4 linked regions of the Tamandua tetradactyla genome follow. The protein of the gene in region 1 interacts with the protein of each later gene in a pairwise test. Links are inferred from orthologs where the notes say so. Each region holds a gene or a part of one and is shown on either strand. Other genes may lie near its edges.

Region 1 (7,802 bases):
ACTCATCGCATTTTTATCTAAATTGATCTCCTGGCACTCTTCTGCTCAGGAAATGATTGCACTATTTATCAAGTAGCTTAAGCCAGAAACTTTAGAGCCATACTTGATTATGTTATTTTTCTCATGCCTCAACTAGTGGAATAACCTCCTGTTACTGCACACCTACTCTTGGCCCTTGAAATCCATTCTTCACATTGCTTCTCAAATGATGAATATCATCATCTTGGTCAAAATTCTTAAGTGGCTTCCTGTTGTTCCTAGGATAAAGTCCAAAACCCTAAACATGGCCTACAACACCCTCTGAGATCAGACTCCTGCTTAGAATACCTAATGCTTACTTAGATTTCTTAACTGCTAGCAGCTATGCTATGCCTTGCAAACATTACATTTTATTCTCATAGCAGTATTGTGAGGCAAGAACTATTAGCGTCACCATCATTTTGCAAATGAGGAAACTCAGTCAAGGGGATATTGTGCAATTTGTCCAAGGTGGTAAAGCCAATAAAGTATTGGAGGCAAGATTTGAATCTAGATCTGTCTGGCTCCAGAGCATGAGCTCTTAAACATTCACACTCTCCTGAAACTGTATGCTCCAATCATTTTGCATTACTTTCACTTCCTAGAACTCATATGCTCTCTCTTACCATGAGGCGTCATACGTAGCACTCCCTATATCTGGAATGTCCCCCTCACAAATCTCAAATTGTACAGGACTGGATATTTATTCACTCATCAAGTTTCTGCTTAAATGTCATCCCCTCAGAAAAACCTTTAATTTTTTAATAAAAAATTAAATTTTTTATTTGTTTAGATCTTCATGGCCTGTCTTTCTTCAATAGAATGTGAAAATTGTTCACTCATCCCCATTTCTTAGAATGGCATTCATTAGAGGGTCAATAAACAAGTGTTGAGTGAGTGAATGAATGATATAAGGGTGGTTATATCATTAATCTGGTAACTTCATCTATTCAGACTGATAAGATACAGAGAGAAGCCCAATACAAATGTCTATCCATTAGATATTTACTTAGTAGCTTCCAGGTCCCAGCCTATACTCTTGACAAATTACAATCTGGTGGGCGAGACAGACACATAAGCATGTGGTTATAGCACAGTATATGTAAAGTACCTGTTATATATGTGGTAGGAATAAGATGCAATAGGTGCCCAGACGAAAAAGACAGTATAAAGCTATGAGAAATCTTCACAGTAGAGGAGATTCTAGAATCCTTTAGAAGGATGGATGGGTCTTGAAATATATATTATATAGTCCATGTATTTCATCTAAGAAAGGGGAGATGAGCATACACTATTTACTGGGACACTTTATATCTCATTTAATTCTCAAAGCAGCTCTCTTTTTATGGATGTGGAAATTCAAGCTAAGAAAGATCAAATAAGTTGTTCAAGATTATGGAATACATTAAAAGAGCAGAATCTGAACCCAGATCTGTCTGACTCCAGTACCCATTTACTTACCAATATATCACAGTACTTTTACTGCGTACTCCCTTTGAGGCTGCTTACTTTTATTTTCAATATAACTTTCAATAAAATTGGTCATCTGGTTTCCCAGTCTAATATAAACAAGCAGCAAAATGAAAGGTTCAGGAAGAGACCAAAGTGAAGTATATGGATAGCAAAGGGAGGGACAGAAAAAACTATAAAAATTGGACACAAAAATTTAAAAAAAAAGCATATCAGGGAGTATCTGTTAGTGCAGTGTTATACAGTCCTATACACTCTACCCTCCACTGTACAACACTACTTGATGTGCATAATAATGATGACACCATTACGAACAAAAAGGTTGTTATGGTCACTACAGTGTAAGAGATAGAGAAATAACTTCTGATGCTTGAGCAAGTAAACTTCAGGTATCTTAAAAATTAATTTCTCCCTGGTAACTATGGTTAAATGAATTATAATGGTTGTTTTCAAAGTGTTGAGAAGAAATAGCCCAAGATCTTAAACAGTCTTTTCATGTTATGGAATTGTTTTCCTGATGCCTTAAACCAAGATCAAGAGAGTATAGAAAAACTGTCAATCTCAGCTTACAAATATTGCCAAGTAAATTATAAATTTTTAAAACTTCTCATACTATGACTTTGAGCAACACGTGTGGACTGAATAATGTGTAGACTGACAGTCATACATGAAGAGTGTCAATGAAGAATCTTAATATCTAAAAACAACCAACATCTAATAACCTTTCAATAAGTCAGGATAAATTGATTATGTATAAAACAGGGGGAAAATGATAATATTTTTAACCTGCTGCACTCATAAATAGGTATGTGAAATAGAAAAGAAACAACTCTAGGTAACACAGAAGATGGTTGAATTATTTACCATAAAAATGTTTTCACTATATACTCTACCTGGATCCAACTTTTTAACTTGAAGATGTCTGCTTTTTTTTTTATAACAAAGGATTTTATAATTTTAATAAATTTACATTTAGAGAACACACCCTAGATTTTTTGTTTTTGTTTCTTTTGCTTTGTCTTTAGAGAACAAGAGAAAATTTGTTTCACCAATTATCTTGAACAGGCAAAGAAGGAAACATTTAATATCCTTTATAATTTGATATGTTTTTGAATGTAAAACTTTTCACATAGAACATAGTTTGCAACAATGTAAAAAGCTAACAGTTCACAACATAAAAGTGACTATAAGGAAAAGCAAGTCTTGTTATTAACTGTAACTTTCACCTATTTTTTTTCCAGAAGGAATGGAGTTGCTGTCTAAAACTGTCTAAAAAAAGAATACTTCGTTTATTTATATTTGGAAACTATTTTTACTTTAGTTCATTTTGTTCAATTTAAACCCCCAAATCAGTGTTTTACAGATCATTCTAAACTTAAGACATGGAGTGAATTTATAATATGAATTCATAATATGACAATCTATTGGAAGCAATACAAAGTGAATAATAAAATAAATAAAAATTTCACTGTACATAGACATAGTTGTACTTTTAATATTCTTTCTTACCTGGACGCTCTTCAGAATAAACTCACTTTTCTCTCGTACATCTTTAAAAGGACACCTCATAGAAAGCATGAGCAGATGAGCAAGAAGCTTATTCAATCCATCCAAAGAAACAGCATTTGAAAGACCGTCTGATGGACGAGAAGGTGTGTCTTTTAACGAACGAAGATACTCGGTTTTCCTCAAAATGATTTGTCTAATGCTTTCCAGTGCTGTCTCTCTAGTACTTGAATCTCTACTGCACAGACCATCCCATCTCACTTCACTCTCTCCTTCGGCCATGACAACTTGGGAGTTTTTCCTTTCCAGTCTTCAATTATCTTTCACCATGTCCCCCAAGGCACTGTATTTTTAAAATGAGAACTATAAGAATAAAATCAGAGAAATCGAGTCGTCATGAAAAAACACGTTTGAGTAACATTTGGAATCAGAACTCTTACATTGATGCTTTCAATTCTCTCCTTTTGCAAGAAGGGGCAGTCTTCTGGTCAGAGACTGGAGAGAAAAAAAAGTTGGAAAGTTGTAACCCTACAGCGCTGGCTTTGCTGGACACGGCGCCTGGAGGAAGTGTTCTCCGTCTCGCCCGGTCAGCGGATATCCTCACGTTGTGGAGTTGTCAAATCCGTGCTCTGCCCCAAAAGGCCGGTAACAGGGAACGCTCTCCAACCATTCGGGTTTTTTAGCCTGAGCAGTCACCGCGTTCTCGGGAGCGTCCCCGCCCTCCGCAGCTCCTCCCTGCGCCGCAGAGGCCAGCTGGGTGCCGGCGGGACGGCTCGCCGAACCCTGGCCCACTGGCCGCCGCGGCCAAGAACCCGGGCGCTCCCTGGGGGCGGTAACCTCCAGCAGCCGCCGTCTGGGCGAAGGCGGCAGCACTGTTAGAGCACAGCACTCACGTCCAGCCGATTCGAATGCCCGGAAAAATGCCGCTGCTTCTCCGAGTCCTGTGTCCTCGGCCAGAGTCCGCCAAGCCAGACGGGTACTGGGCGGCCCTGGCAATCCCCGAGCGTCGGGATGGGCCGCTGAGCAGGCTGAACTGTAGGGCCGGAGGCGCAGAGTCCGCCCCTACGCCCAGCCCCATCGGTGGGGATCGGCCCAGAGGCGGGAGCAGGGAGGGGAGATGGGGTCCTCACCCCCAGCCCCTCCCCTTTCTCCGCCCGGCACAAACCAGGAGCCGCCCCTGCCCCCGCGCTCTCTTCCCCGCCCAGACGGACGAGACCCGCGCAGGCAAAGCCATTGGAAAAAGCCCCGCCCTCCGGCAGGCTACCTCCAGACCCTGAGTCTGCGCGAGGTGGGGCCAACTGCTGCCGGCTGCTACGCATGCGCAATGGCGAAGACGGCGCATGCACCTCCAGAGGCATTTAATATTTTGTGGGTGCGAGTGTGGGGGTGTCGTTTTCCGTTTCCAGGCATTTGGAGTTCTGGAGTGGAGAAGGGGAAAGAAGAGTAAGAAGGAGTAGAAGTTCGCTGAAATTGTTAAAAACAATACGCACGGCAAAGAAAGGAAAATCCTGAGGCTAAATTAAGACTAGCCTAAAAATGGTGACGGCCTCTCTGTTACGCCAAACCCCAGATTTAAGTAGCTAGGACGTTCTCGCATTGGCTTCTGGGAAATATAGTTTTGATGCTGCCGGAGCGGTCTGTTTGCGACAGAAACTACAAGTCCCAAAGGCCACCGCGACGTTGCCTGCTGCGGCCTGTGAACCAACCGTTAGCTGAGGCGCGAGTTGATTGAAAGCGCCAGCTTGGTGAGGTCCGTTGGCTACCTTTTTTTGACAGGACTTTTTCTTCCTTCTTTTCTTCTGGGATCTTGAAGACGAGATCATCTAGAGCACCCCCCCTCAAGTGCGGGGGCTTTTTCTGATGACCTGAGTGGGAAGGGCTAGTCCAGGTGCCCATATCCCGTGGTATGGTGAGGCTCGGATTTGGGGGTCGCGATGTTGGGGGTCGGAGGGAGTGGCCTTCTTTGGGAGTCAAGGGGGAAGCTTGGAAACGGGTGCTGCAGGTCCGCGCTGTCGCCGGTTTTCGCCCTTGCAGGTGCACACACGCGAGATGGATTAGGAATTCTAGTGCAATTGCACCTTGTTTGCATCTGTACCGGGATAGACTGGGCTCTGTTTGGTCAAAGCACATCCCAAGCAGGGCGTTGAAAGCGATTTGTCAAATAACGTTTTGCCTGGGACTAAAGGAAAAAGAATTCCTAGTGTTGTTATATATGACTTATGCAGACTTTAAGGATACCATATGAAAAACTCTAAAGACCTCTGAAATTAGTATCTTTAAAGTTCAATTATTTGTTTACGAATAATTGTTTGTTTTAAAAGTCATTCTTTTTGAGAAAAATCGAGGATTGGAGGGTAATAATGATAATCAGACTAGATTTTATCTCTTCACGTTGCAGAATGTGTAAGACTTTAGTCTTGCTGGGCATAGTGTACAGCTGTGAAAAAGACACGGCCCCTGTCTAGTTAGTAAAACCAATGGTTAGGATGCACGGGTGGTTCTTTGGTAGAATGCTTGTCTTCCATGCAGGAGACCCGGGTTCGGTTTCCGGGTCAGGCACCCCCCCCCCAAAAAAAAAAATAGTTAAGCGTACAATTTCAGTACTATTATGATAGTGCTCTTGTTGAGGATGCTAGTAAGGTCACCTAGCCCCATCTTGGAAGGCAAGAAAGTCTCCTTCCCAAGGTAATTGGGGATCAAAATAACAAAGAGCAAATGCTGAGGCCCAGGGTGAGAGAGATTTGATACTTACAGGAAACTGCAACAAAACCAAAGCTATATCATTGAACTGATTTATACCACCAATGAATTGGTCTAATTTGGCAAGTTTTGCTACATTTTAATGCTAATGGTTTGGATCTGAGTAAAGATGGTGTTTGGGTTTGCTAAAGCTGCTGGAATGCAGTATATCAAAAAGGGCTTGGCTTTTTCAGTGGGGATTTATTAAGTCACAAATTTGTAGTTCTAAGGACATGAAAGTGTGCGAATTAATGCATCAAGAGAAAGATACCTTCTTTGGGGAAAGGCTGTTGACGTCCGAGGCTGCTGGCATTAGGGTTTCCTCTGTTACATGGGAAGACATATGGTAAGGTCTGCTGGTCCTTCTCTCCAAAATGTGTCGGGGTTTCTGTGGGTCCTTGCTTATTTCTCCCAGGGTATTTCTGTCTCTTAGCTTCTCCAGGGATATTTTCTTTCTTAGCTTCTCCCTGGATGTTTTCTTTCTAAATTCTCTCTCCATAAGCTCACTTAAAAGACTTTTTAGTAAAGGATTAAGACCTACCTTGAATGGACTGGATTACATCTCAATTGAAATAGCCTAATCAAAACAAGCTTCACCCATAGTAGGTCTGCACCCACAAGAATAAATTAAAAGAATGTAGTCTTTTTTTTTTTTATAACAGATTCAAATCAGCACAGGTGGGAATAACTGCTCTTATGAATGTGATTTACAAAATAAAAAAGCCCATTTCTCTCTCTGTTGTGGGCTTATCCTTCTTTACCCAGCCCACAAAGTCTAAGTCCCCTTTTTACTCTGTAGCTGAATATGATCTCAGCCATACCCATGGCTTCACCACTACCTATTTGTGGATGACTCCCAAAGGTACAGCTCCATCGACTTTATCTTTCAGCCTTCATATATCCAATGATCTCTCTGCTGTTTCTTCTTGTATATCTCAAAAGCACCTCAAACTCAATATGCCTAAAACCAAATTCACAGTTACCTGGTTCTCTTCCAGTGTTCTGTCTCAGTATACTACTGTCTGTCTACTTGTGAAATTTTGAAAGCTAACCCTCATTCTTGATTCCTTTCTGTTCTTGTACCTCTATAGCCAAAATATTACCAAGTGTTATCAATCTTAAATCCCAAATACCTCTCCAACCCATCTGTTTCCCTTTATCTACATCAGTACAGTCCTATTCTAAACTGCTATAATCTCTTGTCAAGACCACTGCAATAGTCATTATTCACTCTGGGCCTCCTCCATTAGTTCTCCATACAGCAGCCAGAATGATCTTTTCAAAATGCATCCCATTGCTCTTAAAATAAAAACAAAACTCCTTAACATAACCTTTAAAGCCCAGCATCATCTGATTGCCTTTCCACTTCTCCAGCTTCACTTAGTATCATTCTCTAACTCTTTCCCTGTGCTTCAGCCGTAGAGAGAGACCTTTCTTCAGTCACTGGTTCTCACCACATTCCCTTTCACCCATTCGTTTATTCAACATAATTGTTGAGTGCCAACTATGTAACAGGATATAACACTGAGTACACATACAAGTCCCCCCATCCTCCTGTTATAGAGCTTGCATTCTGCTAAGGAGAGATAGACGATAAATAAATAAGTAAAATATTTAGTACATCAAATGAAGACAGATGCAGTGGAGAAAAATAAAACTGGGATGGGGAATGGTGCCAAGTTGTGGGGGCAGGGTTCACTTTTATATATGGTGGTCACAGATGACTTCATCAGGAAGGAGACATTTGTAGGGATCTCTGTAGGGGATGGAGGATTAAGCCATTAAGATTCCTTGGTGGGTGGGGTGGGGGGAGAATATTCAGGAACAAGGCCTGTGAGGGACCATGCCTGCACATTTAAAAAAGGAGGCTTACTCTGGCTGGGGTATAGTGAGTCAGGGGATAAAAGCAGCATGAGGTCAGAGTGGAAGAGGGTAGAGCTAGATCATGTAGGTGATTGAAAAGACTTTGGCTTTTTTTATTGATATGAAGAAGCAATTGGAGGGTTCTGAGCAGATGCAGGCGGGGTCTGACATTTTTTAAAGGATCATATCTTTTAAATTATATTGAG
Region 2 (7,287 bases), on another chromosome or scaffold:
TTTCCATCTCTAGCTCTCCTCTCTCTTTTTTTCCTTGCAATTTACTTACTGAGGTAACCAGGTGGTTTATCCTATAGGGTTTCCCACAGACTGGATTTTGCTGAATGCACCCCTGGGGTGGATGTTAACATGTTCCCCTGTCTTCTGGGTGTCCTGAGAATTGGTAGTTAGATCCAGAGGCTTGACTGGATTTGGGGGTGATTCTGGAGAAAGACAGCATCATCGGGAGAGGTGTGCTATTCCACCAGGAGGACATAAAGCCTCTGGCCACTGTCTTTAGGACGTTAGCCCCCTTCGATGCTCAGGGCCTACACCTACTCATTCATAAGTGCTCAGAATGTGCTACTCCGATTCTATCCTCACACCCTCATTTATTCGTGGGACAACGTCTGAAAAGGGAGAGATGTTACCCCGTTTGGCGGGGTGAATAGTAGCAAACCCCCACCCCTTAAAACACTCAAGTTCACCTGGAACGTCGTTTGGAATTAGAGTCTTTGCAGGTATAATTAGGTATGGTGCGGTCATACTGGATTAGAGTAGACCCCAAACCAGTGACTGGTGTCTCTACAAGGAGGAAGACACGTGAGAACAACCAGGCACAACCAATCATCCTCGTACAGGAAAGGCAGGATTGTACCTGATTCTTCCCCTGGATCTACCAGTTTTCAAAGTAATGAGGTAGTTCACCAACTCCTCCAACAATGAGCATTTTATAAATTTATCATTATGAACCTTATGAATTAAATTTAAGCATCTATGATTTCTTCTTTTTAAAATTTAACCCGTAGGCATTTTTAATTTTCCTGAATTGACTTTGTCCAAAAACAGTTGCTCACCATTGGCAGAAGTTGTTGTCACTGTTCTTAGCTGCAAAGGGCTTGCGTGGAACAGGAACTAAGACGAGATCACGAAGAGGCCCTGGCTTTTGGCAAGTGGGTCACTGGTCTCCCACAAGGACACATTTCCTTAAGTTGATGGGGGGCAGATGCAGAGGTTTGCAGTGATGGAAAATAGAGGCAAATGGCATCAATGCTCCTTATATAATTTTGGTGATGAAGTGAATAAGCAATAATGTTTAGTGTTTCTATGTGCAAGGGTCATTTATTCCTCATGACAACCTTAAAAAGGGGGGTATTAATTTCTCAGAGCTGCTATAACAAAAGTACCACTAACTGGTGACTTAAAACAACAGAAATTTATTGGCTCACATTTCTGGAGGCCGGAAATCCTAAATCAAGGTGTTAACAGGGCCATGTTCCCTCTGAGACCTCCAAAGAGGATGCTTTCATTGCCTCTTCCTGGTTTCAGGTGGCCCCAGGCATTGCTTGGCTTGCGGCAGCTACATCCAGTCCACCTCCACCTTTACATGGTTGTCTTCGCACTTGGGTCTTGTGTGTCTCTTCTCCCTTCTTCTAAGGACACAAGTTATTGAGGTATGGCTGGAATCAGGATGGTGGCTGGCAGAGCAAAGGGCAAATATCCAGAAGCATCAGGCCTCAAGGGGAAAGAACAGCCTGAGAAGAACAGCCATAAACGGCATCTGGTGGAGCCAACCGACCCTGCCGGAGGGATCATCTACCATCATGCATCCACAGATGCGGGGAAAGGAGGGGCAGTGGAATAGTTAATAAACATTAAAAAGGAACAAAAGTGTGTGAAAGGTCGGGGCCTCTCTCTTCTCATCCCTCTTTTCTGGTGAGCTTGCCCACATGTCCTCTCACCCACATTCTCAGTAAATGTCCTACCTGCTTGCTCTATGCTATGCTGTGCCCTTGGGTCCTTCCTCGCAGCAAAGCCATGAACCTAGGAAGCTGAGCCCTGCTACAGTATTGGATTTCGGGCCCACCCCACTCCAGTAGGACTCATGTCAATTATTTCCATCTGCAATGACCTGATTTCCACACAAGATTGCAGCCACAGTTTCTGAGGGTTCAACATGTCTTTTTAGGGAATACAGTTCAACCCATCACAGGAGGAGCTAACTTCATCCCTGTTTGCTGGATGGCAAAGATGAGACACACAGGTTAAGTCACCCGCGCTGGTCCACACAGCTGGTACATGGTCAAAGCACACTCCGAACCCAGGCCGCTGGGCTGCTCTGTCCGCCGGCCCGACACTGCAGGGCAACCACACACAAGACAGGAATTTAAAAGGAAGGGATTTCTACATGTGCTTTCTCTTCAAGATAAAGGAGATTTAATCCTATTTGTGGATAAAGCCAAGAGGCCAGGAAAAGAGAATAATTGAGTAATGGAATTTAGAGGGAAAAAGGATTGGGCAAACTGCTAAGAGAATAGGATTAAGAACATAATTCTCATCCCAACTGCTTGAAGCAACAGGATGCTCCCCAGAACCCACTGTCTTGGCTCTTGTGTCCTATGCTGTCTAGTATGGGTGGGTGCTGCTGGCTGCATCTGGCCACCCCACCCCCACCCCCGTCCAAGGCATGCTTAGGTGAAATTGTGATAAACTGTGTATGTGAAATACATACCAGAGTTCAAAGACTTAGCACCAAAAAAAAAAAAAAACAGAATGTAAGATATAATAATGATGTTTATATTAATTATATGTTAAGATGAATATTTTTAAAATTATATTGGGTTAAACAAAATATTATGAATAATTTCAGCTGTGTCTGTTAACCTTTTTTAAATGTAGCTACTAAAAAAACATGAAATGACGTAGCTGGCCCCTGTCCACGACTGGTATTGTGTTTCACTTGGACGGAGCAACTCTAGATGACACACATCCACCCTGGGTCTACAAGACGGTGCCAAGTGGACACTGCCCCTCCCGCCTCACCTCCTGCTGTAGGCTCAGTCCTCTCCTTCTTCCTCGGGGCTTCTGAGCAGTCACTTCAGGTCCAGGGCACGGGAGGGAGTGGAGAAGGGGGCACGGAGAAGGGGAAAGCGCCCGCCCCTCTCGATAAACAGAACTTCCTACTGATGAGATTGGCCACCTCTTGGGATGGCTCCAGTGCGCTATTTCTCTGCAGTATTCTTTCCCTTTTCCTCCCCTTCTCCAAGAACCGTTTCTGTTCTCCCAGGGTGTTTGGACCAGCAAGAAAGGGGCAGAGAAGAGTGGACTGCATTTGAGAGTGGACTGCATTCGTTTCACTTTGCTGCTATAACAATTAATCCCAAACTCTGTGGCTTAAAATAACACATATCTGAGATTCCACTGTTCTGGCGGTCAGACCTAGGGCACGTTTCCTTGGTTTGGAGTCAGGGTGTGGACAGGGCTGGGTTCCTGCTGGAGCCTCGGTCCCTTGCCTCGTCCAGCTTCTGGAGGCTTCCTGCACGCCATGCCTTGAGTCCCACCCTTAACACCCGTTGTCACCTCTGGCCTCCTCCCTGGTCCCCTCTTTCACCTGGAAGGAGCCCTATGGTTACATCAGGTCCAATCTGGGTGAGTCAGGAGACTCCCCTGTTTAACGTAATCAATCCACGAACTCCCTTGGTCTGCACAAGGCAGCACGGTCACGGGCTCAGGGATTTGGACATGGGCCTCCCGGGACCAGCATCCTCGCTTCCACGGGGGTGTCGCTGCCTCCGGCCCGGCTGGTCAGGCTCTGCCTCAGACCAGTGCAGACACGTGATCCAGGAACCACGGGATGGGGTCTGGAGAGAGGCATTTGATGGGGAGTGGGGAGGAGGGTCTTTCTGTGAGGAGGACTGAGGAGGACACCCCCGGGAGGAGCTGCTGCGGGAGGAGGGACACGCAGGCAGCAAGTGACAGGCGAGCAGTTCCCTGAGTGCGGCCTGCGGCCGGAGGCCACGCGGATCACCACCGGGGCTCCAACCATGGGCCAGCCCTCCAAACACCAAGTAAACTTTTATTACAAATGTTGCCAAGAAACCAGACAATAACATCAGAAATAAAGTGCTCCCAGCACTGGACCCGAACTAGATTGGACTCCTTCTTGTTAGGCCGCTGTTCCCCTTTTTCCAGAATTCCTGTAAGAAACTCGGCACTAATTAGACTTGCCACACTGGAAGTATACCAAGAAATAAGAAAAACTGCTCTCCGCGCCCAAGATCAGCAATGGTGAGAAGCTGCGCCTGCAAACGGGCTGCTGCCGACTCACGGTTTACATTTTTTAAAAGGACAAATCGTGGAGGAGGGTCTGATAAGCTCTCCCAGCTGCTGAACTCCTGCCGGAGCTTGGGTGCCCTTGTCTCTTGCTGTGTCACGCCGCCTTCCCTCCCCTGCCGGCTCTGGCCCACTGCCTGTGTGTGTGCGTGTGTGTGTGTGTGCGCGCGCACTGGCGTGTTTGTCTATGTGGTCTGTTTCCCCTGTGAGAACCCGGCCTGCCTGTCTCCTGCTGTCCCTGCTGCTCTGACTTGTTCTTTGCTGCCTCTTTCCTCTCCTCCCTTCTCTCTTTGCTCAGCTCCTAGCCTGCCGGTGAGTATGACAACCACCCCCCGAGGCCTACGAGAAGAGGTAGGGTGCGGTTTGTGGTGTTGAAAACATGCAACTTTGAGATCGAAGTGAGCTGTTGAAGAACTTTCCACTGCTTTGTTTGTAAGTGAAATGCGTTGCTTAGGAAGGAGTGCGTAGAACCTGCTGAGACCTCTAGTGCAAGCACAGGATTCTCTCTTTCAGAGGAGGGAGGACAATAAAGTTTATACAAAATAAAATTTAGAAATAGCTTTTGCTGAAAAACTAGCGAGGACAGAAAGGGACAGTTTAAAAAGGAACAGAGCTCCTTGGACTTTTTCTTCCCCTCTTGTTGATTTATCTGGAGGCTGCTCCTAGGAACTGAGCTGTCCTGTGGCTCACAAGGACGCTGTCATTCTGCTTTAAAGTGCATGTGGAGCGGGAATTGGAAGGATAGCCATGGAATTAAGTATAAAAACCATCGGTGGTCAGGGCATCTGATAAATACAGCGCAAATCGAATGCAGAGAACTTGTATCTGCACTAACCATACTAACACGCCTTTCAGTTGGCTTTAAACCCATCACTTTGAAGTTCGGTCTACTTTCAATTTGATTTCATCCTGAAATAGCTTCCCTAACACTTTACAACCGACATATGAACGGAAACCCTTAAATGTTTACTGTTTTCAGATTGATTTTAAAAAGTGTTCTCTTCCCTTGGTTTCTGAGGATGACATGCTAAATACCATGATGCCTTCCACAAGAGCTTAAAATAACCTCTGGCTGGACAGCAGGTGCCACATGCCCCCGCCTTGAGCTGGGGGCGGGGGCTGGGAGCGAAGTTAAATATAGCCGGTGTGCACAGCACGTAGGGGGCAGGCCATGTGGCCGCTGACGGCGTGGCCCGGTGACGAAGCTGACCGATGGAGTGGGTGGAAGGAAGGGCTTCCTTCCAAGTGAATGAGAGCTGGGGGGGGGGGGGGGGGGCCTCATGGGAGTCTCCATTCATGCTGGTGTCCGCGAGGCCCGGGAGAGGGAGTGGGGCGGTCACGCTGGCGTTTCCTCTCCCTGCCAGCGCGGCAGCACACCTGGGCGCCAGGAGGAACCTGCCAGGTTTCTACGCTGTGAATTAACAGGCTCACTGTGAAACACCCTTTACAAGCGGAAAGCTATTCTATCTGTTTCTCTAAACATCCTGGCTGAAAGGCCCAAGCTAAAGCTCTTGCAAACTCAGAAATGGAGACCGCCAGAAACCCTGGAATCTTTTGCCTCATCACGTCCCTCTCGGACTATTGCCCGGATTATATCTGGATTTTTTTTCCCCAATTCATCCTTTCCCTGAATACTGGCCACTGCTATTTCTTAAAAATAAATAAGTTATTCTGGTGTTTCTTGACTGAGAAGAGAAAGCTGGGATCTGTTTTATCCTAAAGGAAAGTGGGTTTTAATGTTGGAACAAATGTGTATTGAGTAAATTCAAGAATTATCATGAGCACCACCGTGTAGTCACACTGGGCAGTCCGTTTGTTTATACCTGCTCTCACTGTCTTATTCTAGAAATGATGCTAGTGTGAACCTCAGAAAATGTGTTTTACTAAATGACAATTACATGTTACTCATCTGGGAAAAAGAAAACATTGGAAAAGCAAGAAAGTACCTCCTGCTTTCACCATTTTTGGTGTAAGCATTTACACCAAAATATTCATATTGATCACATCTTGAGTTATGGATTAAAATAGAGTTTAGGGATATTGTTGTAATGGATACTTTTAGTAGACTCAACAGCTCTTGCATTAACTGTTTTAACTTTGAAAGAAAACTAATACCAATTTAAATTTCAACCTTTAAGTGTATTCAACCATGTGCTTCCAACGATTTTGAACCTACATAGAATTGTATGAGAGAATGATAGCCACTAACTGACTATTCTAAGCAAAATGTCAAACAGGGCCATGCAAAGGAAATAATAGCATGAATTACTCTTTTCATGACAATAATAGGGGACACAAGTGGAATGCAAAGACCAAAACAAAAGTATGCTAGTAGTATGACTCAATTTGGAGAAATGACTTCCACCTGTTACTACCTTACTAACTAGCATCAGTGGCTTATGAAGGGGCGTTCAGTCAATGTTAGAAACCCATTTGGGGTTGTCCTTACCATTTACATACAGCTGAGTTAACTACCTTAACCTAACTGTGCTCATCTCTAGGCACTGCTCCCAATATGGAGACTGGTCAACCCATACTACCCTCAGTGGAACCGCAGTCAACAGCCCCAGGGGATGGAGAGGAGAGTTCTTCATTGCCACCGAGGCTAAATGGCCTGGAGAAGCCAGATGGCCAGGATTCCTCACCCCCAATCCAAGAACCAGAGAAAGGGGCAAGTGTGCAGCCTGAAAAGGCAGCTCATGATATCTCCGAAGAGTTGAATCGACAACTGGAAGACATTATAAGCACATACGGGTCCGCCGCCAGCACAACGGGGCAGGAGGGCCCTGGCACAACCAAAGAGAGGGCAGAATCCCTTGACCACGAGGAAAGGGACTATGAAGAGACCATGGAAGAGACTGAAAGGGAGCCCACAGCTTCTGGAGAGCCACCTGCAGCCAAAGAGTCTGTCGGCAATAAAGAGCAAAAATCGGAAAAGAAAATCCTAAAGGGATTAGGCAAGTCATTTGTCCTACTCTGTGGCTTTTCTCTCTTTGAATCTGTCCTAAAATGGGGCACTTCCTCTGACCTTTACTAAAAGCACATTTAGATAGATATGTCTCTCATTGGTTGGTTATAACAGCCTCCTTCAGGGATGCCCTGCATCTCCTCTTGCCATACCTGCCCTAGCCCCTCCCCCTCCTAGGGCTCCGAGAACACAAGTGGACTTCCTATTGCTGTTTGGAAGATGACCAA
Region 3 (7,698 bases), on another chromosome or scaffold:
CCTTCCCCACATGCACACATATCTGGACTCGGTCCTGGCAGAAACTATGAAGGTAGGTGGCAACTGGCCCAACAGAGGCTGTCTGTGGCATGAAGCAGAATTTAGGGGTGCTGGATGGTCTGCAGTTCTTTAATGAGGGACCTGGGCCCAGCCCAGATCTGGGGTAAGAGGGAGCCTAGCAGCTGTGGGCAGTGGCTGGGCTTGACCTTATCCAAGATGTCTCCAGATAAATGGGGCTCCCATCTAGTCTTGGCCCCAGCCCAGGGTTGGAGATAAAGTGCCACTGCTGCCAGGCCCTGGACTGGCAGTGGTAGTAGTCCCCTGGCATGGTTCTGGTTCCTGAGGGCCCTGGGCCAGAGCTGGAGGTAGTTAGGGGGTTTCCTGGAGCCTTCCCTGTTAGTAGGGAAATAGATACTCAAGATCCTCTAGCCTCCGCATGTCCTCAAGCCCGATGGAGATGGTTTTCCTCTGGGGTTCCCTCCGTTGCACGGTGACCTGGATAGGATTATTCTCAGGGAAGCTGTTGAAGTCAGTGGCCATGGTTGCAAACTGAAATAAGAAAAGCCCTCAGAATTCCTTCCATGACCTACCCTGGCTCACTTTCTCTGTTTCTGTCCACTAAGTAGGATCTTAAATAGCCTCATCCAACGTATTCATTGACACACCAAATAGGTCCAAAGATGGGACTTGATTTGCTCAAGGTCACCCAGCTGATAATAGACATAGGTATGCGTCAAACCTGTGCTTCCCAGTTGTGTGATGTTTTTACCAAAGGGCTGTCAAAACTCAAGCCTGTCTCCCCACTGTCCTCCACCCACACAGGTTATTTCCTTCATTCTCCTTTAGCCTCTTGTCCTTGCTCTGTTTGCCTCAATGCACTTAACTTCTGGTCCACTCAGAATTACTGGTACTGAGTTGTGGACTCCATAAGCCAGTGGTTTTGGATGGTGGGCATAACAGTGATGCTGATGTATACATTAGTTTGCATTCTTAGTGGACCCCAGTGAGGCTTAATCCTTACACCTCCCAGAAGAAAGAAACCTGGAATTGCTGCCATTCTCCCAGGAGAATAAGCTCACAGGGAGATGAATCAGGGGAGCGGTCTGGGGTTTTGCCCACCCTCAAAGCCCCAGCTCTGATTTCAGACTTTACTCCCTCATCCCTGGGGCCCCCCTTTTCTCCCAGGGCTTACTTTATAGGGCTTGCACCACTTCCCCACTCCAGCTGTGTTGGCTGCGCGGACGGTGAGGCAGTAACTAGTGTTAGGCTTCAGCTCCATCAGCTTGACGGTGGTGCCCAAGATTTTGTTGAAGATCCACGGGTGATTCTTTGGCTTGGGTAGCTCATCATCACTTTTCTTGACCATCTCCTGCAACAGGACCTGGTAGAAACTGACCTGCTGCTTGCCCAAGGCATAGGTCCAGGAAATCTAGGGGAAGAGAGCCCCCGAAGCTTCCTCAGACCTGGCCTTCCCTAGCCGCTTCCCTAAGTGGGTGTCAGTGCCCCCACTTCCATCTCCTGCCAGAACTGAGGCATGTTCACTGGTAGTTGGGAGGCATTCCAATGCTGAATGTGGGACCACCTTCCCACCAGGATGTGCTGCTCTCCCTGGCCAGCCCCCGCACGAGGGTGTTCCCTCATTCCATGTTTCTAGACCTTAGATTCTGGGTCAGTTGAGGGGGATCTTGGAGATCATCTATGTATGCCACTCACTGAACATGGGGTTACAGATCCAAGAGGGCAAGTAACTGGCTAAGAGTCATAGCAGGTAGCAGAGTTAAGATTCAAACCCATAGCTCCAGAGCTCACACACTTTACGACAGTGATTCTCAAACCTGGCCAAGGATTGTGGAAAGTTAGTTACACTGCAGATTTTTGGGCCTATTGTCTCTGGTCTCCCCATTTCCAGTTTTTCCTCAATCTAGGCTAGTGGTTCTCATACTCTAGTGTATCAGAATACCCTAGAGGACTAGTTAAAATGCAAATTGCTGCCCCCCACCCCCACAGTTTCTGAATCTGAAGGCTCACGGTGAAACAGAGAGCTTGAATTTCTAGCACGTTGCCATGTGATGGTGATGCCAGGGATCACGTTTTGAGAAAACCCTGCTTGCTCCTGGCCATCCAACAATGAAACTTCATGTTTTATCTTCCTAAAATACAGAGCTTTCAGATGTTACGTATTGCTACAGAAAAATCTATACGGTGCCTAACATTGGAGGGCCTCTGTAAAATGACCAGACCAACTGTTCCCTTCTACTCCCCTCTCCTCCCCTTCCCATATTCTAGGCTCTGGGGGATTTGTTAGAAATGCAAATTTTCAGGCCCCACCCCACACCTGAATCCGAATCTCTGGAGACAAAGCCCAGGAATCTCAGTTTTAGCAACATGGTCAGGTGGTCTATAGGCACCTGAAACTGAGAAGTATTGGATTAGGACCTGGGATCGACTGAGGCTACTCATTTCCTCCCATGCTTTGGCACCTGTGAGCTAGCATTGCGGGATCACGTGGGATGCCTTTCCTCCTTGCTCTCTACGTGTTTAAATCCTGAAATTCAGCTCAAATGTTACCAAAACCCACGAAGCATATTCCTGCAGCTGGAAGTAATGTTTTTTTCCCTCTGAATTCCTAGTGATATTTAATTTGTCCTTTTCCTACAGCACTGAGCCCTTTCTATCTTGGAATTCTTTAGAGATCTGCCCTCTTTCCCTTACTAAAACCACGAACTTGAGGTCAGGTTGCAGGTCTTGGCATCTTCATGCTTCCCACAGAGCTCAACTCAGTGCTTGCACAGAGTGGGCAGCAAGTAAGGCTTTGCTGAACTCACGAGCATGGGGAACTCACCACAGCCGTGGTATCACTGACGGTGTGTTCACAGATGAAGGGTGCATCTGGCACGTCCACAGTCACAGAGGATTCAGAGAGCGTTGAGGAGGTGTCTGTGTCCAGCTCAGGGTTGTCAAGGTCCAACAGGCCCCCAGGGACCACTTGGGACTTATATTTGTGGGGACAGAGGGCCAGGTCCCCCTTATCTTCACTCTTGGCGAGCGTGGTTAAGCTGAGTTTATTCAGCTCTCCCTCCGGTATCCCTGCAAAGAAGCTGCTGTTCAGCTGGGTCACGGCTAGTTTGATGGGGTTCAACAAGGTGGATGAGATGGAGGAGATGCTGGTTTCGTCGGAGCTGCATTCGGAATCCTCCGCTGGCGTCGGCTTCCTGGAGCGGGCGGGGGGACAGGTGAGCCAGATGAAGGAGGCTCTCCTTCTCTCCCATTATACCATAAAAATTCCTACAAGCACCCTCCATTTTAGCCAGAACTTCTTACTACAGTTCTCTTAGGGAAGGGACACCATGCTCTCAGCCTCTCATATAATCAGGACCAGCTACATAGTTTGTGGAGCCCAGTGCAAAATTTAAAAGTCTGTGACTCCTGATTTAAAAATTAAGAATTTTGAGACAGTGACAGCAGAGCATTAAGCTAAGCACGGGACTCTTCTAAGTGTGGGGCCATGTGTGACTACACAGGTCACACACCCACGAAACATATGCCCACAAGTAGTTCCGTCAGCGCACATCACCTTGCACTACCATCCCTTCACTGGCTAAGTTCTTCCCTTCCTTGGAGATTCAGCTCAACTATCACCTCTTCCCAGAAGCTTCCCTTCACTGCACACAGCCCTCAAGCTATACTAAGCTGCAGCTTCTGTTTTCTCAAGGCACTCTACCAGACTATGCTGTAACATTCATTTTCCTACCTGATTCTACCCCCACCCCCACCAGACCGGGAACTCCTTGGAGGCCAGGACTTTGCTTTCCAGATCTGCATTCAGGAGTTAACACTGGGCCAAACACCTTGCAGGTGCTCTCAGAGTTTTGTGAAATGAGATAACAGAAACCCAGAATCACCAAGGAGAAAGACTAAATTTCACAGTGAGGGAAGGCAGGCTCTTGGAGGACATAATCAGGCTGGTACCGAGGGAGGATTGAGGGAGAGGCGCCATGGGAGTTAGGAACTCATTCAGGCAAAGCAGGATAACAAGTGCAGTCAACAGACCCTTCACTAATCCAGGAAGGCCCCCTGGAGGTAGGGGTCCAAGTGCCCTCAAGAGCTGATCAAGGGCTCTGGAATACATACACAGCTCAACCCCACATACATCCTTTCCCCTGGGAGTCCAGTGACTTGGTTGAGACAGGTCAAGAAATTAAGTTTTCTTCAAGGCACTCCTCCCATCCCCCAGTTCCAGCCTTGGGAGGAAGGGAAGAAGGGAAGGGACCAGACTTGTGTCTTACTGTGAAGTGTTGTTCTTTTCCTCCAAGAAGTTAACCAAACTGCCCCCGGAGGAAAGTGGGAGTCCTTTGATAGTGACAGTCTGGTTCATAGACTTGGGGTTTGGAAAGGGCTTCTGCATTTGATCGAGAGCATTCAAAACGTTGAGGTTTTCCTGTCTCAGCACGGCCTCTTCCCCATCTCCCAGTTTGCAGAGCGCCTGTGATGCCATCTGGTTTATTTGAGACCACGGTTGTCACCATGCAGGACAACCAAGCTGACAGGAAGCAGAGAGAAACTGTGGGTGCAGCAGACCGGCTCTTAGTTTGGGTGGGACAGGGGTGCAATGAGCTGACTTCATAATCATTGGAGAGTGTAACAATTAAGGGTTAGTCTTGCCTTACCTGGAGGTTGCTGCTGCCCAGCTCACTGTGAGGCCAGACCAAGGGCCAGCATGAGGAGTGGAGTAGAGTGAGGGGCTGGACTGCATGAGCTCTTATGACCCTGCCAGCTCTACATGGTTGCAGCAGACCTGCCCTTCTCTGAAGGTCTCAGGATTCTTAACACCCATGTCCTTCAGCGCATACTGTGTAGAAGGATAGTAGAGAAAGGAAAATGGGTGTGGAGAAAGGCAGCAGTGCCCTGGGAGGTAGGTAATGCTGGAACAAGACTCTGCAGGTGGGAGGCTTTATCTGTAGATGGTGAGGTGCTACACCCTGAAATCCTAGGCAGCGGGCTCCACCACGTCCAGGCGTGGAGGCATACGGAAAAAGCCCGGAAGGCTCATGGCTCACGTATGACCAAGTGAACCATGGTCTATTATGCTACAATAGAATATCTATTATTCTAGCATTATAGAATTTTAAATGTGTCCCTCTCTCCCCTAGGTGTCTTCATGTATGGAGTGGCAGTGGCTGTTGCTGCAGAGGGATGCAGAGATCAGCCACGCATCTTTACTCTTAAGAAAACCACTTTACGTTCGGAAACAGAGAACAGCTTTGAAGGAAGGGAAGGATAGATTCCAATAGTGAAAAGACACTGACTTTGCATAGGATGGTGGTGAAGAGTAAAGGTGTTCACAGATGTAAAATCTTATTTCTTTCAGCAATTAAACCAATGTAGTGGACACTTAAAAATACCAAATCATATTTTTTATTTTATATATTTAGGTTTTCTTTTTTCATAAAAAAGAAATTTGGAAAATTCAGAGAAGCTAGGGCACTCTCTTAGTATCAGTCATATAATATGTAACTAAATTAATTAATTAGATTCCTTTTCATTTTTTTTTCTCGCCTTCACTAAAATGTAAGCTCCCTGAGGGTAGGGGATTGTCCTCAGCGTTGAAACCGAAGCTAGCACATAGCTCACTGAAAGGTTTGTGGGTGTGTGTTAGGGGAGGGACTTGGGAAGGTAGAATCCGGCCGTAGAGCACGTGTTGTGCATGCTGGGCGACGTGTGGCCTGCTGTGCACAGGACGTCGTGAACTTCTATGAGTATGTGATACTAAGGTGGCGGTGGAGAGGGGTGCCGAGCCCGCGGGGCCGGATGATCTCCGCGCCAACCGCCCAGGGTGGCGGAGGCCGCGGTTCTGTCCCCGCGGCCAGCAGATGGTGCTGCAGGCCAGGCCCTTGCCGGGTGCGCGAACCTGGAAGCAGGAAGCGGCCGCGCAGAGCGTCCGGGGCGGGCGAGCGCTGCGCGCGGGAGTCCCCACCGGGTCGCGAAAGGGCGGGCTGTCCCCCTACCCGGGCCTCCGCCCCGCCTCCTACTTCCAGAACCCGCCCCGCCACAGCCCTTTTCAGAAAGCAGCGGCGGGGAGCGTCTGGGGAGGGCCTCGCGCTTCCCCACCCGACAGGCCCACCCCCTCTTTCCCGCTCCCTCCAAGCCCCGAAACTCGTGCTGTCCCAGGCCTACAGCGGACATGGGCGTGCTCAGGGCCGGGCTGTGCCCCGGCCTCACCCCGGAGATGGTCCAGCTTCTGAAGAGCCGCGGAATCAAGACAGGTGACCACCTGTGCGCGTTAATGCGCATGCCAGGGAGCCGAGTGTGAGTGTGCACCGGGGAGGGGTGTGGAAGTGTGTTCATGCCAGGGGCCCATGCGCTCCATCCGTAGTCGGGGCAGACCCACCGGGCCTGGTCATCTCTGCCCTGGCATAGCTGCGGGGCGCTTCCGTCACGTTTCTGGAGGGCCATTCCCCTCATCAGCCTTCTTGCCCTGTCTGAAGAAAGGTAGAACCCCTACAACGGGCCAGACACAGCGCCACCTGTTACTGCAGCTAAGCCTCCTCAGACAACCTGCTTTGAGAGTGAATTGTTACCCCTTTTTATTAGATGAGGAAAAGCCAAGTGGGAAGGTCCAGACTCTCCTTCCTGCCAATAAAACAAACTACACCTGTTTTTTTTTTTTTTTTCCAGTGGTGGACCTGGTTTCTTCAGACCTGGAGGAGGTAGCCCAGAAATGCGCTGTATCTTATAAGGTGAGCTAATGGTCCCCATCTCCAAATGTGGGTGTTTTTAGAGTCCATCCCTATGCAGAGATGGGCATGAGACCCCGGGATGACCCCTCCTGTGGGTGGTTCATTGCTGAGAAATTGTGGGCTGCTCTGGATTGAAGGGTCCCTGGCCAGATCCTGAGTGGACCCCCCCCCCCTCTTTGGCAGGCCCTGGTTGCCTTGAGGCGGGTGCTGCTGGCTCAGTTCTCGGCTTTCCCCTTCAATGGTGCTGATCTCTATGAGGAGCTGAAGACCTCCACTGCCATCCTCTCCACCGGCATTGGAAGGTGTGTATGTGTATTTGGGAACGAAGCTGCCTCTCAGCTCAGCTTTTGATCTTTGAGTCTAGAAGAAAACAGGATGTTTGCTTGTTTATTTCTTAGCAGTAGTGAGGACAGCATGGGCAGATGGGAAGGAAAGTGGTCAAGAATTGTGGTTTCACAACCTGGGTACTATTGACATTTTGGGCCAGATAATTATTTTGTATGGGGGCTGTATTGTGCATTGTTGAATGTTCAGCAGCATCCCTGGTTTTTATACCCTGGATATCAGTAGCACTCCTTCCAATAAAGACAGTCAGAAATATCTCCTGACATTACCAAATGTCCCCTGGGGGTAGGGGGCACAGAATCACCCCTTGGTTGAGAGCCACTGTCCTATAACCCAAGATGTCGATATTTCATTGTTGCTCAGCAGATTAGTTTCTGTCTGGCCCTGTCTTCCATTTCACTTAAGGGTAGAACAAGTGAGAACATGGCAGGACTAACATTTGCTGAGTGTCTAATGTGTGGCAGGCTTTGACTATAGGCTATATGCAACCTCCTCTGTTGCTAACCTACAAGTTAGTAAATATTAGCCCCACTTGGGTCTAACCCAAGGGCAGTGGTTGGGCTCACAATCTGGGGTGTTTGACCCAGAACTTGATCTTTCACCCTCCTCTGCAGCA
Region 4 (7,680 bases), on another chromosome or scaffold:
GACACAGAAGCAGGTAAATTTTGAAGAGGGAAAGGAAAGGTTCCGAATATAGATTGTTGCCTGGGGAAAGTAGATGGAGTTAGGGTATCAGTATAGAGCTCTGGTAAGCCGAGACTTGCTTGAAAGCAGTGGAAGCCCAGATGGAGGGGAGACTGCTAAAAAGTGAGGGGTAGGGTGGTTTCTATAGGACAATAAAAGCCATTAAAAGCAAATCTTCTCTACTACCAGTTCTGCCAGGAGCTATCTAGCTTTCTTGTGTGTGTATATGGAGGGGAGTGGTGGCTGTGGTGGTGAGTATTGTCCATAAGAAAAGCTGTAACTTCTTTATATTTTAGAAAATTCACCACCTTTCTGTGGGAGATCAGATCAAATGAGGTTGAAAAATAATTCACAGGAATCAATTGACTTCTGACTCAACTTTGGGTTCAACATTTTTTTTTGAGAAATACCTTTTTCTTGATTTTAAAAAAACTACAAAAGGGATACATGAATAAATTCTTATTGTAGAATATTCAAATGGTTACAAAATATATTGAATAAAAAGTGAAAGACCTCTCAACACCCACCCCAATTCCAGGCTCACACTGTTTATAGTGTGCCCCCAGGTTATTTTCTATGCATTTACCTGCACATATAAGAATATTTTTGCATAGATAGGATAATCTGTATTTGTTCTATATATCTCCTTCTTCTATTTAATTTTTTGAAAAGGTAATACATGCACAGTATAAAAAAATTCAAACAATACAAAAGGACATATATAATGTAAAGTATTTCTCCCTCCTATGCTTGATCCCCCAGGCAACCAGTCATTCAGTTTCTTAAGTACCTTTGTAGAAGAGTCTATGCATATACAAGTATACAGGGACATATCTACCCCCCTTTCTTTTTACACTAGTAGCAAACCATGCATAGATCTGCACTTTCCTTTTTTCATTTAACAGTATCTCAGAGATTGTTTTATATATACATATTGTGCAGATTTGAAAGGATTTATGTACCCTAGAAAAGCCATGTCTTAATCCTAATCAATCTTGTGAGAACAATGGTTTCTTCTAATCCCTATTCAGTACTATAGGTTGGAAACTTGATTAGGTCATCTCCATGGAGATGTAACTCAATCAACTGTGGGTATTAAACTTGATTAGATGGAGATGTGTCTCCACCCATTCTATGTGGGTCTTGAGTAATTTACTGGAATCCTATAAAAGAGGAGATTCTGAGAGAGCAGAGAATGATGACAGCCACAGGAAAGCCACAGCAAAATACCACAGAACCACAAAGCAGAGAGTCCACCAGCCAGCAACTTTTGGAGATGAAGAAGAAAAATGCCTCATGGGGAGCTTCATGAACCAGGAAACCTGCGGAGGAAGCTAGCAGATGATGCCATGCTTGCCATGTGCCTTTCCAGATGGGAGAGAAACCATGACCATGTTTGCCATATCCCCTTCCATTTGAGAGAGAAACCCTGAATTTCATTGGCCTTTTTGAATCAAGGTATCTTTCCCTGGATGCCTTGGATTGGACATGTCTATAGACTTGCTTTAATTGGGGCATTTTCATGGCCTCAGAACTGTAAACTTGTAACTTTTTAAATTCCCCTTTTTAAAAAGCCATCCCATTTCTGGTATATTGCATTCTGGCAGCTAGCAAACTAGAACACAAATATAAACATATATATAACAAGAAACAAACACATTCTTTTTAAAAATCTTTTATTAATTTTTAAGTTTTTAAAAATATATAACAAAGAAACACAAACATTCTTAACTTATGATCATTCCATTTAAAATATATATTCATAATTCACAGTATCATCACATAGTTGCATATTCATCATCATGATCATTTCTTAGAACATTTACATTGATTCAGAAAAAGAAATAAAAAGACAACAGAAAAAATTCATACATACCATACCCCTTACCCCTCCTTTTCACTGATCACTAGCATTTCAATCTAAACTTATTTTAACATTTGTTCCCCCTATTATTTATTTTTATTCCATATGTTTTACTCATCTGTTGATAAGGTAGATAAAAGGAGCATCAGACACAAGGTTTTCACAATCACACAGTCACATTGTGAAAGCTATATCATTGATCACTAGCATTTCAATCTGCTAAATTTATTTTAACATTTGTTCCCCCTAATGAAAATAAAAATTATTCATTTTTATTCTGTATATTTTACTTATCTGTTGATAAGGTAGATAAAAGGAGCATCAGACACAAGGTTTTCACAATCACACAGTCACATTGTGAAAGCTATATCATTATACAATCATCTTCAAGAAACATGGCTACTGGAACACAACTCTACATTTTCAGGCAGTTCCCTCCAGCCTCTCCATTACATCTTGACTAACAAGGTGATATCTATTTAATGCATAGACTCTGTTTGGAATCTCTCAGCCATTGACACTTTATTTTGTCTCATTTCACTCTTCCCCCTTTTTGGTCAAGAAGGTTTTCTCAATCCCTTGATGCTGAGTCTCCGCTCATTTTAGGATTTCTGCCCCACGTTGCCAAGAAGGTCCACACCCCTGGGAGTCATGTCCCATGTAGCCAAGGGAAGGGCCGTGAGTTTGCTTGTTATGTTGACTGGAGAGAGAGGCCACATCTGACCAACGAAAGAGGTTTTCTTGAGGGTGACTCTTAGGCCTAATTTTAAGTAGGCTTGGCTTTTCCTATTTGGGGTTAAGTTTCATATGAACAAACCCCAAGATTGGGGGCTCAGCCTATTGCTTTGGTTTTCCCCACTGCTTGTGAGAATATCAAGAACTCTCCACTTGGGGAAGTTGAATTTTCCTCCTTTCTCACCATTCCTCCAAGGGGACTTTGAAAATACTTTTTACTCAGTGTTCAAATCACTCTGGGATTTATTGGGGCATCACTCTGGACAAACCTACAAAATCTTATGCCCTACTCAAGGTTCTATGTACTTATGGTGTTCAATTAAGTTGTTCACATAAGTTATATTAGGAACTGCAGTAGTCAAAATATAAATTTTGTACCAAGTAAGCATTTTTTGCTTTAGTCTGACTCAACTTTTACTTCTCTTGGGCCAGACTTTCATCAGGATAGCTTGGCTGTGATTTTTGTCTTGTTTCCACCTCAGTACTCTCTAGTACATTGTTTAACAGGGGTGTTGGCTGATTACTATTGGTTCCGTGATGGATACACCCAGAGCTAAGTTAATTTTTCTGGACTTGTTCCCATGCATAGTAATGAGAAGTCTCTGTGTGTGTGTGTGTTTGTGCATATTAACTCTCATTTGCTCCTTTCTTTCTCCATTTTCTCCCATGTTAAGACCAAGTTTTTTGTGGCCTCCTACTCTTTCCCTCTTCCATCTATGCCGTGAGTGAGGCAGCTGAGCCAATGATAGTAGAGAATCTGACTCCAGACCAACGGGATGCCCTGGCTTCCAGGTGGGCCAATTAGCTTATCAAGGATATTGAATACTTGAAGAGCTGGCATCTGTCCCCTTGTAAACTCTTGTTTTGATGGTCAAGGATTTGAAGGTGCAAAAAAAAAAACACTCACAAACAAAAAGCAACCCTACTTTATTTTATTTGCTCTGGTGGCTTTCTTTAATCCATCCCCACAACTTCTGCCCAAGGCCAATAAAACAGCCATTCTCCCTTTGTAAAAAGAAAGAGGGGTTGGGTTTCCTTCAATTGTCTGCCCTTTTCTGTCTCCTCCACTATTTTTGTTTTACTCTATAGTTAACTTTGCAAAGGGTGGCTTCACCCGAGAACCTATGCGGTTGGACCCAGGCACTTTCTTCTTAATGCCTATTGCAACATCCTTTTTCTTGTTCTGATCTGGGTGTTTGTGGGTCCAGGGTGGTGGTGGGTAGGAGAAGAGTTTGGCCATAGTCTTCTTTTTATATTCCTCACACATTCTGCGCTTTCTCTCTCTCTCTCTCTCTCTCTCATACACACACACACACACACACACACACACACACACACACACACACGCACACGCGCCTGCTTGGGCCCCTCTCGGTGTGTCTTCCTTCAAGATGACAGGGCGCTGGAGAAAAGGCTGCTGGAATCAGCTGGTAGGTACAGTAGTAACCCGAACCCCACCCACCCCGCTGCCTTTCCTTGCTCAGGTTTCTCCGGTCACTCCTGCCAGGGGAGAAAACATGTAAACGTGCCTCCAGAGGAGGGGCTGGGGAAGCTGGGAGCGGCAGGGGCGGAGGAAGGTGAGCCCGGGAAGGTGGCTGAGCGGCCCTCCTGCCAGGTTCTTCCCAGACCTCCCTCCGGGCGTCAGCCCAACCCTGTTTGCCCGCACTCTACCCCCCTTTTCGAAGGGATTGCCTTTTTTTTTCCCTCTGCGGCGGCGGAAATGACAGTGTGGTGCTGCCGTGGTGTCATGGTGCTGCCTGTGGGCTGAGGGGGCGAAAACTCTTTAACTTTGGCTTGGGAGACCCAACCGCTGCAGCGTCGCGGCCGCCGTGCTGTCACGGGCGGGGCGCGCGGGGCGGGCGGATCTCGGCTGCTGCGCGGCAGCGGCGGCGGCATTGGCGAAGGCGGCGAAGGCGGGCGGCGGCCTAGAGCAGTGGCGGCAGCGGCCAGGGACTTGGGCCGAAGCCGGAGCCAGCTCGCTGCGGAGGGAGGCGAGCGCCGAGCGCCCTCAGTGGCGCCGAGGAGATGGCTGGCACCTGGCAAAGCTATGGGTAAAATGCGCCCCCTCGCCGCGGCCCCAGGGGTGGAGCGCCGCCGCCTGCGCAGAGCTCCCGGGCTCTTGGCGCGCCTCAGGTGCCGCGGTGGCCCGGCCCGGCCCGGGCTGAGGGCTCGGATGCTCGGCGGGGCGGGGTGACCCGGCCCGCGAGGCTCACGGCAGCGGCGCGGCCCCGGCCCGGCCCTGACTCTCCGTTGCACCGCTGGGGCCCAGGCTCCTGCCCTTGCTCTCCTGGGACTGGAGTTTGCACTCCCGGGTGCGGGTGGGGGCGGCCCGAGGCCTCCCGCGCAGCCGGATCGGCCCGGAGCGGGCAGTGAAGCGCCCCCACCCCGCCATCCCGCAGCCTCCGGCGCCTGGGCGCGAGTCTGGGAAAGGGCAGAGCCGCCTTCCCACGCTCCCGCTGTCTGCAGCCTCCTCGGCCCCGGCGGCGTCCCTCAGACAGCTGGTTGCCCCGCGGTGGCTGCCGCAGCAGTCCGAAATGCTGAGGACATCCTGGTGGTGGGAAGGCCCGGCGAAACTTAATCCCTCTTCTGCCAGAGGAGCAATCATCTAGTCTCTGTATGGGTGGCTAATTATTTCTGGCCTAGCTGTGAAACCAGCTTTACCGGGGAGAGGAAAAACTTACATATGTCCGCAAGACAGACTGCGACTGACTGGGGAGACGTGGGGTTTTAACATTCCTGTCTCCTAAGAATTAAGTAAATAGCGGTGGAGTAGATTTACAGAAACATTATTTGTTGATGATAAGGTTTAGGTTACTTAGCCCTTCGTGTGCAGCGCGAAATTATTTTTCGGAGGCATTTCTTCTCAGAGCAGGAAATTGGGATTCTATGGTCGCTGGGTTGTTCGCTTTCCCTCTTCCACACTCCCCTACCCACCACGCTCACTCACCTTCTTTCCACGTTGTCGCACATCTACCCACCCACTTCAAATCTCCCATATGCTCCCACCCCACCCCTCAGCCTTTCCCCATCAACCTGTGCACTCTAGTAACCTCCCAGCTGTGCAGCCTTTTGCTTCTCAATCTCTTTGCCATTTTCAGTATTTCTGACGTTGGGGTAGTAACGGTTTTATGTTTCTGAGGTTAAAACAAAAGGGAGAGACCCTTAAAAAAGAAATATATTGGAAGCTGTGTAAATAGACAAGTGCTGTGTGTTGGTTGATATTCGTCTGATTCTCAAATTGGACCCATGAGGGCTGCCTTTAACCCCACAGAGTCCTCTTCTAGTTCTCTAATCAGTTCTCTGGCAATGCTCCAATAGAAGGGGGTGGTGGTGTCTGAATTGGAAATCCCTCTCCCTACTTCTTTTCTGCCCTGAAAGCACTGCTGCTCCACTCCAGCTGGGTACCTCTCCCAACACTATATCCCCCTTTCCACTTGCTCTTCACTTATCACTGTTCTGAGGAGGGAAGAACTTTTGCTATTTTATTATATATATATAAAAGATATATATATATATATATATATATATATATATATATATATGTATTCCTGACCAATCACTTAACAGAGATATATTTTTTCATTTTTATTTTCTATTTTTTTTTGGCCTGGACAGGCTCCAGGGATTGAACCTGGGTCTCTGGCATTAACAGAGATATATAATATGAATTAGGCTTCTCCTGATTGTTCTTCACAAGTTGATTTATGTGGTTGAAATACAGGCCTAGGAGCCAAGTATATCAGAGAATTCATCCCAAATCTGATGTTGCATTGACCTTATGGCTTTAGGGCATTCCTATGACCTTTCTTTCATAGTCGGTGCACTTGTGTAAAAGGCATAAAGTTGTGTGCTGGGGTATTGTGAGTCTTGACTTGGTCCTTTGAAGATGAAAGGTTTCTATAAACCCTCAACATTATACTTTTCAAAGAAAGTACTTCATTTACCTTGTATTGGAATGGTGGATTGACTAGGAATATCAGAAACTCTAGTTTACTGGAAACTTTAGCTTGTCATAGCAGCTACCCTGAGAGCCAAATCTCTGATTGTAGTTATGTTTAAGTCTGTTTTTTTTTTTCAGTAAGCATACAACTGAATGAAAACTAAAACTAGGTGTACAGAGTAATGGTGATTATTTTAAGTTATCTTAAATTCTGCTGAAAAAAAATGGCATAAGTAATTTTAGACATGGCTATATAAGTTAGTATCTAGCAACAGTGAGTCAATATTTATTAAGCACCTACAATGTGCAGAGTCCTGTGCTGATTGCACTGAGGCCCCAGGCTTGGCCCAATGTTTTGGCTTCTTGCTTATTTGAGGCCTACTTTCATACTTGCAGCTCCAGGATTGGGAAAGGGAGGAACTATGGAGGGTAGGGGTAGAGGCTAGCCATATGAAGGGGTGATTGTTTCCTTCCCATTTACTTCCATGACTACTAGAATTCTCATCTATTATATTGTACCTTGCAAGGCCTCCTCTGGGAAGTGTTGCCACAAATCAATGACTTGGTTGTTTCATGAACATATCATCTGAACAGTACAAATTGATTTAAATGAAATTGGTTTAGTTAATCCCTCCTCTAAGTGAAGGGCAACTTGCTCTGACTTGCAGATCCTAACACAGAGCTGGTGGAGTCTCATAATTGTCTCCAAAAATTGCTCTGGGTAGTGAGCCTGTTCATTCTCTCATCCCTCCTCCCATAAAATCTGCTGACGCTATAACAATTGAGAAGGAAACTACAGAAGGAGTATGTCTTTACCACTCAGCAAACCTCACTGGCTTGGTAGAGAGGAGAGAATGTCATCTTTTCACCCCATCCCTCTGTGCTCCAGTTTCCTCTTTCCCAAAAGGGACACAGAGCTTTTAAAAAGAGGTGAAGAGGGCAACGGTGGCCCAGTGGCAGGGTTTTCGCCTGCCATTCTGGTACCTGCCCATGTTTAAAAAAAATAGAGGTGAAGATAAGGTTGAGGCACAGAAAGTATCTCAAATGGCTCTGGAGGTATCTGTTTGGCCTTGTGTGTGTCTGTCATTCAATCTAACTGGAT

Evidence for each region.
Region 2: the proteins of CEP57L1 (region 1) and TXLNB interact in binary tests that used the Homo sapiens proteins (3 or more experiments, as listed by UniProt). The two-hybrid records come from large-scale screens. The link is inferred for Tamandua tetradactyla from reciprocal best matches to the Homo sapiens genes CEP57L1 and TXLNB.
Region 3: the proteins of CEP57L1 (region 1) and RAD51D interact in binary tests that used the Homo sapiens proteins (3 or more experiments, as listed by UniProt). The two-hybrid records come from large-scale screens. The link is inferred for Tamandua tetradactyla from reciprocal best matches to the Homo sapiens genes CEP57L1 and RAD51D.
Region 4: the proteins of CEP57L1 (region 1) and MID2 interact in binary tests that used the Homo sapiens proteins (3 or more experiments, as listed by UniProt). The two-hybrid records come from large-scale screens. The link is inferred for Tamandua tetradactyla from reciprocal best matches to the Homo sapiens genes CEP57L1 and MID2.

What each region holds. Positions count from the first base shown.
Region 1 is NC_135331.1:167,541,600-167,549,401, forward strand, and holds the start of CEP57L1 (centrosomal protein CEP57L1), read left to right. Parts: upstream 1-4,750; 5' UTR 4,751-4,900; coding exon 4,901-4,903; intron 4,904-7,802. Other genes in the region: SESN1 (sestrin-1), read right to left, coding at 2,998-3,276. UniProt on the Homo sapiens protein: Centrosomal protein which may be required for microtubule attachment to centrosomes.
Region 2 is NC_135351.1:39,321,182-39,328,468, reverse strand, and holds the start of TXLNB (beta-taxilin), read left to right. Parts: upstream 1-4,222; 5' UTR 4,223-4,404; intron 4,405-6,593; 5' UTR 6,594-6,607; coding exon 6,608-7,049; intron 7,050-7,287. UniProt on the Homo sapiens protein: Promotes motor nerve regeneration. May be involved in intracellular vesicle traffic.
Region 3 is NC_135332.1:46,247,284-46,254,981, forward strand, and holds the start of RAD51D (DNA repair protein RAD51 homolog 4), read left to right. Parts: upstream 1-4,648; 5' UTR 4,649-4,912; intron 4,913-5,150; 5' UTR 5,151-5,637; intron 5,638-5,947; exon of another isoform or gene 5,948-6,145; 5' UTR 6,146-6,181; coding exon 6,182-6,263; intron 6,264-6,675; coding exon 6,676-6,737; intron 6,738-6,920; coding exon 6,921-7,039; intron 7,040-7,698. Other genes in the region: FNDC8 (fibronectin type III domain-containing protein 8), read right to left, coding at 397-549, 1,193-1,429, 2,843-3,212, 4,287-4,495. UniProt on the Homo sapiens protein: Involved in the homologous recombination repair (HRR) pathway of double-stranded DNA breaks arising during DNA replication or induced by DNA-damaging agents. Bind to single-stranded DNA (ssDNA) and has DNA-dependent ATPase activity.
Region 4 is NC_135353.1:63,688,204-63,695,883, reverse strand, and holds the start of MID2 (putative E3 ubiquitin-protein ligase MID2), read left to right. Parts: upstream 1-4,511; 5' UTR 4,512-4,685; coding exon 4,686-4,689; intron 4,690-7,680. UniProt on the Homo sapiens protein: E3 ubiquitin ligase that plays a role in microtubule stabilization. Mediates the 'Lys-48'-linked polyubiquitination of LRRK2 to drive its localization to microtubules and its proteasomal degradation in neurons.